Schizosaccharomyces pombe: one gene and its partner. Changing the gene in region 2 together with the main gene of any one other region gives a genetic interaction. Each region holds a gene or a part of one and is shown on either strand. Other genes may lie near its edges.

What was found. A genetic interaction does not mean that the proteins touch.
Region 1: mutations in pef1 (region 2) and sgf73 impair growth when combined (synthetic growth defect), as found in Schizosaccharomyces pombe (2 studies listed by BioGRID, with this or other methods).

What each region holds. Positions count from the first base shown.
Region 1 is NC_003421.2:2,120,588-2,127,238, forward strand, and holds sgf73 (SAGA complex deubiquitinating submodule subunit Sgf73), read right to left. Parts: upstream 3,344-6,651; 5' UTR 3,270-3,343; coding exon 2,687-3,269; intron 2,616-2,686; coding exon 2,164-2,615; 3' UTR 1,923-2,163; downstream 1-1,922. Other genes in the region: pus1 (tRNA/U2 snRNA pseudouridine synthase Lsp1), read left to right, coding at 78-1,154, 1,220-1,575, 1,615-1,786; mrpl17 (mitochondrial 54S ribosomal protein mL46), read right to left, coding at 3,958-4,113, 4,181-4,279, 4,428-4,861, 4,956-5,073; twf1 (twinfilin), read left to right, coding at 5,363-5,387, 5,426-5,503, 5,567-5,934, 6,043-6,171, 6,227-6,362, 6,403-6,521, 6,564-6,651. UniProt on the Schizosaccharomyces pombe protein: Component of the transcription coactivator SAGA complex. SAGA acts as a general cofactor required for essentially all RNA polymerase II transcription. At the promoters, SAGA is required for transcription pre-initiation complex (PIC) recruitment.
Region 2 is NC_003421.2:684,854-691,249, reverse strand, and holds pef1 (cyclin-dependent protein kinase Pho85/PhoA-like Pef1), read right to left. Parts: upstream 3,516-6,396; 5' UTR 3,497-3,515; coding exon 3,469-3,496; exon of another isoform or gene 3,418-3,468; coding exon 2,579-3,417; downstream 1-2,578. Other genes in the region: rpl1201 (60S ribosomal protein uL11), read left to right, coding at 1-115; NatB N-acetyltransferase complex catalytic subunit Naa20, read right to left, coding at 1,083-1,547, 1,605-1,682; pgl1 (6-phosphogluconolactonase), read right to left, coding at 4,458-5,046, 5,165-5,349; DNA polymerase epsilon Dpb3, read right to left, coding at 6,058-6,201, 6,303-6,396.

The DNA.
Region 1 (6,651 bases), 1.4 Mb from region 2:
CTACTATGTTTAAATGAATTTTTACCTGTGCAGCGTAAATTGCGTTTTCATCAAAAACAAATAATATTAACTACAGCATGGGACGTGGTGGTAAACGCACTTGGTACAATGGTGATCGTCGAGAAGCGAAAAGGAACCGACCTAATTCTATATACAATGGAGAAGGTCGGCCAGAGAATTTGGTAGTTGGAGAAAAAAAGCCGAAAAGAAAGGTCGCCTGTCTTGTAGGTTATTGTGGTAGCGGATATCATGGTATGCAATTGAATCCTCCTAGTAAAACAATCGAAGGAGATCTTTTTGATGCTTTTGTGAAGGCTGGTGCCGTTTCTTCTTATAACGCTGATGACCCAAAGAAAGTTGCTTTAGCAAGAGCCGCAAGAACTGATAAAGGAGTTCATGCCGCTGGAAATGTTATCAGTCTCAAACTTATAATGGAAGATGAGAAGTTAATTGAAAAAGTGAACGAACACCTCCCTCCTTCCATTCGCTTATGGGATGTGATCCGTACTATTAATTCTTTTAACCCAAGGACTTATTGCGAATCTCGTATATATGAATATATGGTTCCAACGTATGCTTTTGTTCCACCGAAACCTTCGTCCATACTTGGAAATTGCATTATGAAGAATTCTCCCATGCCTGCTGAGCCAATTAACAAGGAAAATATAAATCAACTCAGTCGTTCATTATTTTATGAAGAAGGAAAGGAATTTTGGGATGATTATGATATTGCAGCCAAAGAGATTTTGAGCCTTTATGAACAGGATCCTGAAGGCTTCGTAAATCCATATTCTAAAAGGGGAGCTGCTGCTCTTGCTAATTCGGAAAATAATAAGGGCTCTGAAGCAGGAGTTTCCGCTAAAACTAATCCAGATATGGATTCCGATTCCTCTGCTATTGTAAACGAGTTTTTAAAGCCTGACTCTGTTGAAGACGAATCTGCTGGTTCCAAGATTGATCCCAGTTATCGTCTCGAACGTGCACTTAAGCACATTGAAGTACTTAAATTAAAAAATTACCGTATTTCCGCAGATAGGCTGTCCGTTATTCGAGAAACTTTAAACCAATATGTTGGAGTTCATAACTTTCACAATTTTACTGTGGGGCAAGCATTTCATCAGAAGAATAGTAATCGCGTGATCCGTTCTTTTACTGTAAGTAAGAATTATCTTCTTTGTATTTATAGTATTCTTGACAAGTCTTGTTTCTAACATTCTAGGCATCTGATCCATTCATGATTGGCGATACAGAATGGATTTCATGTAAAGTTCATGGTCAATCTTTTATGTTGCACCAAATTAGAAAGATGATTGCGCTTGCTATTTTAGTTGTACGAACGGGTTGTCCTGTTGAGCGCATACAAGATGCCTTTAAAAAAACAAAAATTAACATACCCAAGGGACCTGGTTTTGGACTTTTATTAGAGTCACCGTTTTTTAAAGGTTATAATGAACATAAAGCTCCAGAGAATAATCGTGATCCTATCGACTTTACAAAGTACGAGCAAAAAATTACTGCTTTTAAGCATGCTCATATTTATGATAAAATTTTTCTCGAAGAAGCTCGTAAACAAGTGTAAGTATATTTTTTTCTTAAATTAACTAACCGGTTTAGATTTCATTGTTTTTTGTCTTTTATTGACAGTTATAATGAAGAAGATTTCAGTTATTTATCAGATATAGGCATTACTGAAAAGACGCAAGAGGTTTCCTCAAAATTGCCTGATGTTCTTTCTAGCGATGAAGAAGAAGATTCGGCTGAAAACAAGGATGATTTAGAGGGCTAAAGGATTGATTGTGAGACTGAGGATTTGCAACAAACTGATACCATAAACTTTGCTGTTTCTTTTAAAAAATTAGACTACAAACGTGTACATATATTTTTGGAGAATACTTGTTTCTTTCTTTTTTTTAGAATTGATTATTGGTTTTGGGTTCTATTGGTATTTTTATAGTTTATTAACTTCTACTTGATTATTCCAAATGTTAAGACCGTATGGTGCAATATACAAAATAAAAAATGAAAAAATTAATGAAATAGAAACTAGATGAACGGAGGAGAAAATTAAAAAGTCGAAAATGCGTGGTCAAGTAGACCAAAATGTAAACTATAATCTCATAAAGAATTTAAATCATCAACCGAAGCAAAATCAAAAGAATTTCTTTATAGTGGTTGGCGGGCACTAAAAGGAATCACTCGTCCCAATATAGTACCAGTAACTTGCATACCCTGCTCACCATGTCGAAATGCAGCAGCTATTAACTCTCTAGTACGAAAATACGAATGGCGACGTTTTACGGGTAAAAAAACTTTTTGCTCCAAAGGCTGATTGCCAGATTTCTGGAGAACATTCATAATGAAACTGACTTCTTCATCAGAATCAACAGGCGCTTGATGCTGATTATCTTCGGATTCTTTTGCAGTTTCGAGGATTTGTCGTTGTATTTTTACTTGGTTTTTCTTTTGACAAGCTGCAAGCAAAACATCGTATGGCTGAGATCTTCCCGGAACGGCTCGTTTGCTTGACATTGAATGCGTTTTACATGTGAGAGATCTGGCGCACATTTGCCCATTAGGAAGCAAAACACCGCATTGCTTTTCAACATCCACAGGACCTTAATTGAATGTTAGTATTAAAGTAAACAGGTACTCCATTCTCCATATTGAACAGCATAAACCAACATACCTTTGACCTTTGGATTCTTCTTCTTGCTAGCCTCTTTCTTGGGAAGGGCGGATTTTGTAGGCTTTTTGTTTTCTTCTGTCTTCCGACGTTTTGGAGGCATTTCAGGATTCTTTTGACCATTAACTGAATTCTTTTCATGATTCCCAGCTGAGCCCTTAGCTGTCGATTTAACACCATTTTTGATGGGTGCATTATTGCCATTGTTGACATCTTTGTTTAAAACCTGAGAATTCGCAACAGGCTCAAATTGAGGCTTAGGAGGTTTAATTCCATTGCATGAGCTATGATGGTCCTCAATATACTCTGATAGGAAGGGTCGGTCGCATTTTGTGCATACAACATAATCGAGTTCTGAATTGTTAGGATATGACCCATACTGAGGAAAGGAATCAGCAGGTAGTAAAATTTGAGTTTGATTCGTAATGTTAGAAGTTATTTCATCCTTTACCTGTGATTCTGTATTATCAACTCTTTGATCAGCGAGTACATCTTTGGGTAACCCATCCGGGTATTTCAACAAAACTTGCTCATTTCTTTCCCAATTTTCTGGAAATAACTCCAAAGTCTGTTGTTCTGTTAACATTTTATTGATAAGAACCGAGTTTATAAACAGAATTCTACAAAGTTGCCCTTTGTCAATTCCTTTGTAGTGGGACTAAATCTGTAAGTCAAGTGTATGTACGGTTTAATGCTTCCAGAAAGCAAAGTCTATAATTGCATTCTAATGAACTTTCAAAGGATTATGCTGACACATATCATTTCTGATAATTACTAAATTATACAGACATTGTCTTTAAGGGCTAGACTATGACTGACAAAAGAATTTTTGATCTTGGAATTGAGGACAAACTACGGATATCAATTTTGATTAACAATTCTATTTTTTTAGGTCCCTTGAGCTAAACATAGTTTATTATTAAGGTGCGCGCTTTTCCCGTTTTCTCGTACACTGCCAAGAATCCACAGATCATGAGGGTGAGTAATCATGAAATCCGGACTCCAAAAGTAGGCGGCTGAAAATAAAATACTGGCAGAATCATTTGCAAATAAAAAGATAGAATAAATAAGGAGAAATACTTAGTGAAATTCCAAAATTATTTGTTTTTTTTTACATCGTACCAAAACATCAAAAATTAAGGAGAGAAAAAAATAGAAAACGTGAAAATTAAGCTGAAAAATGCAGTAAGATTGTAGAAAGATTGAATTTCCAAGATGAAATGTTCCGCTGTTTATTTTCCGTAGATTTTACATATTGTTTGCTCAATTGAAGATTACAAACGATCGGAAAGTATGTTTTTTACAGAATCCCATGAAGAAGGAGAAAGTTTGTTTTTCAGTTCATCGTACGTACACCAAACCCAGTCATAAACGTTTTGCAGGTTAGGTACATCTAATCCATTTAATAAACGAGCACGTAACAAGAAGGTCTAGAAATAACTGGTTAAACAAAAAATCAACCCAGATAAAATGAGAACAAAAAATCCGTAGTCTTACCTTTTCTTGTTCCGTTTTTAGTAATGCTAATGGATGACGTGCAACTAGCCAAGTCAACGAATTTTCGTCTAATATATTTTTTAAAAGATCTTGACATAACTACAGTTTGTTAGAAAGGCCAATCTGCAGACTATGTAAACAAAAATTGCAAGAGTATTTGATAAATTATTTAGCATCAAATCAATAGTAAGTAGTCTCTTGCACTATATTGTGTATCTTGGAATCGAATTTTAAAAAATGTACTTACCAGATGCAGCGCCTTCTCGGAGCTTGTAACAGGAGTGTTAGGAAATTGCCAACCCGAGCTTTTAGATTTTTTTACCAACAAGTAAAGGGACTTGTCAAGCGAGCGAAGAGTGCTTCGCTCATCGTTTTTCGTATCAGCTTCTGTGACTCTGGATTGCAAGTGAGTTGCAGAATCCAATAATTTGTTAGACTCCATCTCTTTCCTTTCCTTTCCAAATATCGTCTCAAAGGGTGATTCTTTACCTTTTAGTGTTTTTTGTCGTTCTTGCCAATCTTTTTCACCCACCGATCCCTTCTTGAAATAAAATTCTGCAGGTAAAGGATCACTCAGCTCATTCCAAAGTTCCGCATTATATTTATATATAGATTTTTCGAATTCGGATGGTTGGCGAGTAAGAATTGGCGATCTAATTAAAATTGTACCCACTGAACAACCTAAGATATGTTAGCAATCATGTACATCAAAGGTAATTTTTTTATTTATATTTAATATCCCTAGATAATTCATTTTCATTTTTTAATTCTGTACCTTTTAGAGGAGTCGAGTTAGACAAGGGTTTAGAGGATTGAATGGAATTTCGTACAGAAATGTGAAATTGACGCGAAAAAGACCTCTGCATATTTATAATATTTCTCTTCAAGTACATTGTTTAAACTTAGTCAATTTACGCCAAGTAAATCTCCAAATTTCGGCTTTGTTTACTAATCCGGTAAAGACCACTTGGTAAAGGCAATCGACGTTTCGCTATGGCTAGCACTACCACCTGTTTTACCAGCGTACATTACACGCTTCGTTAAGTACTGTAATATTTCTTAGAGACTCTGTTGCTATCGTTAATATGTTTTAATAGATTTCTTTGGATTTCGTTATAATTCAATTTAACTCACTTAGAATGGGGAATTGCTGACGCAGTAAACCTTTCAATCCCCATAACAATGTCTGCTTCCGTCGAATTAAAACGTAAGAAATTTGGCTAAATTCTTCTAACGTGTGGATAGCTACAGAGAAGTTCAGTAAATTTCTCGAGGAGTACTCTTCGGTACCGGTTCGCGCCGCCATTATTAGCATTTCTAATGGTAAGTTTCCATTCGGGCTAGAAGAGTAAATTTTAAGTTAGTTGAAGTTACTAAATGATTTAGAGAATTCATTTGACGTGAAAACAATGGTTGAAAAATCAGAATCGATAGAATCTGATTTTAAGAAAGTCCGTGAATGTTTGCTCGGATCTGAAGAACCTGCATTTGTCCTCGTTTATGATGATAGCAAGAAAAATCTATTACAATTAATTTCCTATGTCCCTGAAAATGCGAATGTTCGCAGGAAGATGTTATATGCCTCTAGTCGTGCTGCATTTGTAAGATGCGTAACTCTTGCTAAACTCGACGAGTCTTATTTCGCAAGTACTCCGGAAGAGTTAGATTATCAGCAAATTATGAAGAGCTTAAGCAAGCAAGAGGACCAAAGTCCTTTACGACAAGATGAACTCGAAAGGAAAGAGTACAATGAGGTAGGTAAACTGTATTGGGGTGGATGGATTTTTCATACTTCTTTACCGTGGCTCGTAGAATTTATAGCTTCTACTCTTTTATTTGCATCTATTTTAACAACTATGTAGTCTATGCAATCCTCAGTAACTCATAAGCGTCCTTTGGTGACCCGTGGTGTTGCTATGTCGATTGATGATAAAGCCTTAAAGGCTCTTTCTGATTTAAAATCATCTACAGAAAACAATCTTGTTATTTTGGTAAGGAAGCTATGATACTTTTGCTATGTATGGTGTTGCTAACCTCCTTTAAAAGTCTATTGACAAAGAAGTCATAAGTTTAAGTCAAGAAAAGCAAAATATACCTCCTTCTGATGTGAAATCCTTCTTTTCTTCCACCGAACCTAATTTCGCTTTCTATTCCCTGCCAAAAGACGGCTCTTCAAAAATTTGTAAGTACAGATGCAGGATCATTTTATTAACAAGGTCTAGTGTTTATATACATTTGTCCAATGCAAGCAACTGTCAAACATCGAATGGTTTATTCTTCTTCCAAACTTGGTCTTTTGGATAGTATTAAAGCAGAATTGGGTATTGTTATTGATGGCAAGGTATGTTTATCCCTCGTAGTAGATTTTATGCTCACATGACAGATTGAATCGAATGATGCCGCTGATATAACTGAAAAGGAAATTCTTCATGCTGCTGGGATATCAAGTCCTCAAGCAGAAACAAGCACCA
Region 2 (6,396 bases):
CGTTAAGGAGATTCTCGGTACTGCCTTCTCTGTTGGTTGCACCGTTGACGGCAAGAACCCTCACGACGTTCAAAAGGAGATCGACAATGGCGAAATTGAGATCCCCCAAGAGTAAATCAATCGTAATTTGATATAAAATAACTCATTTGTGACCTTCTCAATTTTCTGTAAAGTTGCGTGTGATTTCTGATTTAATTGTAGAGGTGCTTTTTGTATAAGAACTTGGTTGAATAAAACCATGAAGTGAAATTTATCAGTATAAAGTCCGTTGTTGGACAAAGGTTGAAACACTCTGATCTGTTAGATACATTCAATTCTCTGGTCAATTTTCAATCAACCGATATAGTAGAAGGTTGAAATAAAAGGCCTCTTCTCTTTTCGTTGAACTGGCGTCTTTTTAATCTTCGAATATTTTCTTATTTCTTTATTTAACTTTTGATATTGTAAGCTCATGATGTAAATTTTTTTTCAGATAGTTTTACTTTTAAAAAAATAATTCACGTTAAAAGTTATTGCTGGCAATTACTTACTACTTGTTTAAAAAAAATATTTCTGTGGTGAATTGTTTTTGCAAAGTTGTTAAGTCAGATGATCGTGTAGCTACGATTTTTGGTAAAGATATGTTTTACATGTATTTACATAGTTTTGTCTTTCATTTTGCAAGTATAGAGGACTGAATGGAAGTGGGTAGTATAGTCATTCATTGATTTATTGCTAACATAAATAGAAGTTATTTAGTTTGCCATTTCACATTAGAGAAATAAAGTAACTAGTAGACGATTTGCTATTTATCTAAAGGAAACTGAACGCAAATTTCAACCATTGTGTAGTGATACATTATTTTATTGATAAATTATCAAAATGTTCCAAAGAGTTGCATAATCATTAATCAAAAACTTCAAATACTTACAATATCAATATGTAAGCAAGGAAAAGGACCGAGGTCTTAAAGCATAGCAAATATTAGTCGTTTCTGAACTTTGATTTTCATTAATATGATGTACATACTATACCATTTACCTAATATAAAAAAAAATCTTCTTCCTTTGCACTAGTTAATAGATTTGTAAAAAGAGAGTGAACTAAAATGAAACATCAGCTGGGCTGCATTTGAAATTTTCCCCATTCTCTCGAATGCTTTCTCTATTAACATCTCGCGAAAGTGGTTTCCGCATATCAAATGAATCCTCATCCTTTCCATGTGGATTACTATAGTACCCAATAACTCGTCTATAAACCGAATACCCCAATCCTTTGTAAAAGTCAATTGCAAGTGCATTGCTGGCACGCACAAACAGGTCAACAAAAAAAGCGTTTTCAGAATTTCCTACAGTTTCTAAGTAGTCCATCATCGTTCTAGCAAGGCCTAAACGACGGGAATTTGGCGCTACTGTAATGGCGGTAACATGAGTATGCCACTCTTTACCGGTTCCTTCTGATTTCCCCATAATATAACCCATAAGGGTTGGATCAGATAGGTCAGACTCTTGTACAACACACAAGCTAGGCCATTTGTTCAAATAACTGAGATAAAATGAAATATTGAACTAAAAGTTGTTCGAGTTAATGAAAGTCCGCTTTAAGTACGGTAGATGGTAACTTACGGTCTCCGTTAGAGGATCTAAATTTATATTGTTAAATGAAAATAAATCAGTAGCTTTGAATTTTCGCGTATCAGTCATTTTTTCATGTAATGTAAATTCTAGCAGTATGGGTAAAACTAAAAGATTTGGCGAGGTAGAAGATGTCGTAAAAATACGATAAGCCAAATCCGTATATCTCCTTAAACAATAGATTGCTGGGCCAAGCGAGTAGAAAAACTCAAAAGAAATTGTAAAAGACACAATTATTATTTCATGTTTACAAATTGAACCTTCTTCCTAAACGAAACTCAAAGAAATTTAGTCACCTCCTACCATTGATGCCTCAAAACTGAAAAGATGGAGTATAGATGAAAGTAAATAAAAAGAATAATGAACGACAGAAACCACATAAAATGTCGAATGGTTAAAGAGAACATTAATAGAGAATCCCTTCATGCAGTTAAATAATAGGGAAGGAAGCCATTAATCCACTAATAAAAATAAGTGAAAAAAGATTGTTTTTCATGTGCATTGCGGATAATTGCTTGAAATCCGCAAATTATTATCAGTATACTAAAAACCCGCATTGCTTTTTGAATATTATCCTTTTGCTCCTTCATAAAAATGTCAGACGCAATGCGGATCATTCAATTCTTTAAGTATTTCATTTACGACTTGAATGTCATCAGCGACGATATTTTAATCGTAGAAAATAAAACGCCGTTTAATTCTTGGCTAAAAATATATTCGACAGCTTCAAATCCTCTCAAAATAATAACCAAATATTTACCTCTAAACCTCGTTTAAAAAAGATCAATAGGGATAGCTACTTGGGCTAAAACAGTTGCGAAGAAATTTGAACGTCCAAAAATATTGTGCTCTTTCCCTAGGTGAAATGCATTCTTTCCAAAAAAAAAATTAATGATTTCAATAGGAAACTGAAATGAATAAATAAAATCGTAATTTGGTTAAACTTTTTGATGTTAATTTACAGCCTATGCGGTTAAAAACCAAGCATGTTGAAGCGCATCCTGGCCGGTCGTCCTTAATTCAGGTTGTAGACGAAGCATCCGTCGTAACAAATCCAAACCAAGAGGATCAAATGTTGGAAATAGGTAGGCGAGATCTTGTGCTTTATAAATAGGGAAAGTAGGCTTATATTCAGGAAGTAAAGAAATTCCGGGCCATGATTGTTCAGTAGGAGTTCCCAATAATCGGAAGATTTTTAGTAGCTGATCCTCATTATTTGACCCAGCAAATAGAGGACGTCCTGTAGCCATTTCTGCCATGATACAACCAACTGACCAAATATCAATGGAAGTTGAATATACTCGAGAACCCAAAAGAACGTCAGGAGCACGATACCATAAGGTGACCACTTCGTTTGAAAAAGTATTCACTGGAATTCCAATTGAACGGGCTAACCCAAAATCCGCCAATTTCAATTCACCACGACTGTTGATAAGCAAATTTTGAGGTTTCAGATCACGATGTAGAACTCGGTTTTCGTGACAAAAAGATATCCCTTTGAGTAATTGTTGAGTAAAATTTTTTACTTGAGAAGGTGGAAGAGCTCCTTGGTTCCCATAAGTGTCCATGTACTTTTTCAAATCTTTTTCCATATATTCAAAAACGAGCATAAGCTTATTTTCGGTTTGCAAAACGTCTGAGAGAGACATAATATTGGGATGCCTAAGCTCCTTCATAAGACTAATCTCACGGATAGCAGTACTAGGTGTTCCTTCATCTGCATCAATACGAATAACTTTGAGAGCGACAATTTCACCAGTCACTCGATTTTGCCCCTTATAAACATGCGCATATGTTCCCTCTCCTACTTAAGTTAATGAAATTGCAAATTTTGGGACCTCAAACTCATACTTACCTAACTTTTCAAGCCTTTGGTAGTTCATGTTGTGCGATGGAAATATCAAGTGCCTCCTCTACGATGACTAACGACTTAAGGTGATGTTAAGCTAACAAAACTGTTTTTAAGACCTACAGTTTTGAAGAATATGCTAAGAAAAAAAATTTTTAGTCTATTGAGTCATGTCGAACATCTTGCTATAATGTAAACTATTGTAATTAAGATCACTACAGCTTCTATCACAAATTAACCTAATGATAATTAATCAGAAGGTTGCCATCTGTAGAAAACACATAAGTATTAATAAACCCTTACATAAAGGAGAGTTTAAGCAATTGCATGTTTTTGGATATAAATTTCCATCTTTGCTTAAAATCTATCATAAGCAGTATGAGAAAATGCCGTAATTTTGCATAATTTTAAAAATGAATTAATGATTTAATAAAAGAATTGAAGCTAAACTATATCACTGCAATTCAAAAACAATTGGTTTACTTTATCTTGTTGATGAAACACATTTTAGAACATTATCACCAACAAAAAATGATACAAGATAGCTTAAGTTTATATATTTCAATGATTCATTTCTTCATTAAAACATCATATTTCTGCAGTGTGGGTTTGGCCAGTGATATCAATCAACTAAACATGATTCTAAACGAAGCAATAAAACAATTTAATAAAGCATTAGCTTCTTACACATTGTTTACAAGACTAACCTTTATACGCTAGTCTAAAATAAAAAACAGACAACAAATGCAAAGAGGATTTGAGGAACAAGTTCTCTCCTAATCTACTAACATGTGTTAAAACTGGTCATCAAGCATTCCACGGAAGTGACTGAAAGCATTTTGAAAGTCATTATCTAAAGCGTTTATGCAAAGAATCTCACGAACAACAAAAGAGAACTGCAACCTTTCCCTTGAAAGACCTTAAAGAAACAAGTAATGAATCCGAAGCATGTAGCAATTAAGCATTCTAAAGGCCACCTGCTTAAATTGAACTGCCTATTGAGGGAAAACCTTCAAAGAGGATCTCTCAAGATTGGCTGATGCTTCATCATCCACAAACCAGCTTGTACGAGTCAAATTGTTTCGAGTGATCAGCGCACTTGGAAGTTTAGATGTAAAATCCTCAATGACAATAGGCAAAATATCCTTCTTACCAGCACCTGTGGTAACAAAGGCAATGGCTTGAGCATGTGTGACAACCGGTAAAGTCAAAGTGATGCGGTCTTTAGGGGGTTTGGGCGAATCAGTGACTGGGGCCACCCAAGCAACGTCTTCCTGGAGTACCTCGTGATCGGGGAATAGAGAACATGTATGGCCATCAGGACCGCATCCTAACAGCAGTAAATCAAACACAGGGACCTTAACAGTGGAGCTATTTGCAAACACATGCACTAATTGTTTTTCATATTCATCAGCAACATTCTGAGGGTCAATAGGATTTTCTTTCAAAAGCTCAGGATTGATGGTATGAATTTTTTTAGGGTCAAATCCTTCAAACTTGTCAAAAATCAACTTTTTACAGAGCGCATAATTTGAGTTTTCATCATCTAAAGGAACAATTCTTTCATCAGCAAAGAAAACTTCCCTAAATAGAGCTGTTAATCATAAATTGCCTTAAGACAGAGTGTTTCACGTCAACCAAAGCTAAACAAAACCACAGTGAATCCATACAACTCAAAAGTATATAATATCTGTTAACTTACCATTTGGAAAACTCGATACCTCTCTGTTGAGCCAATCCTTCAGCCAAAACCTTTGGTAAACTTCCTCCACTAAGAGCTAAAGTGAACACGCCATGCCTTTTAATAGAAGCTTCACTTTTCTCTTTAACGAATGCACCAAGTGCCTTTGCAACTAAACTAACGTCTGAAAATGAGTAAACCGACATTTTTTCTACTTGGTTCTGGTTTGCTTTCAGTATTTGCGCAATTGTTAGTAATGGAGTAGTATTAACGAAACAAGGTGGAGTGTCGTAATTCATTCGGTAGTCGGAAATTTAGAACAGAACAAATCTTAAATCAGTTTTCGAGTATAGTAATGTACGATTACGGCATTATCACGGCAAGGTAGCGGAGGTATAGAATATAACCATGAAGCAAGCAATACGTCTGCATCGCTGGGATTAGATAAAGAAGCTCGACCTTCTCTGCATTTTTGTTTAAATAAATGAACCAAATGATATTGAGAAAGGAATTAAATGAAGAATATACAGATGGGCGCTGGTAGCTTTTCAATATCTTTCAATCGAGTTCAAACGTTTAACCATTTCCTAATCATTAAGATTGTTTATAGATGTAGCTAACAAAGGCCGCAAATTAGTCATGATTGAAACATGAAAAATCAGGTAACCCAATTTAAGAGAACATGTGTTCTATTTTATCCAAATAGCTACAGTAGTTGTTTGATAAAGCTGTTTGAAAATGCGCATTGTGGATAAAAAGACACAAGAGCATGAAAACGAAGAAGAAAACTCAAATAAAATTCATTAAATCACATTTTACTGACAAGATGATTGTTTCCTTTCATTTCATGAGGAAGTTTCTGAACAAGAAAGGAAACACTTAAGCTTCCGTTTTCCAGTTCTCACACTTTTTAATTATATAGAAAACAAATCTGATAAAAATTCAAATTGATCGTCCTTACGTACAACGTCCTCAACGTCCCTGTATCGTATTCCTTTACGTTTTTGTAATTTGGCAAGTTGATAAGCCTCTGTTGCTAACTTTTCAACAAATAATTCCTAAATCATAAAATAGGTAAGCTTTTATTTTTCTTTTTCTTTTATGCAATCAAAATGGTGCTAAGTCGCCCAGATAGCTGATTTATCAACAACACACATACAGTAGCTACTGAAATTAACAAAGCAGATGCATTAGAACAGTAGTGTACGTCTTCATCTTGCTTTATTATCCTCTTTACTCTGCTCAATGGCAAT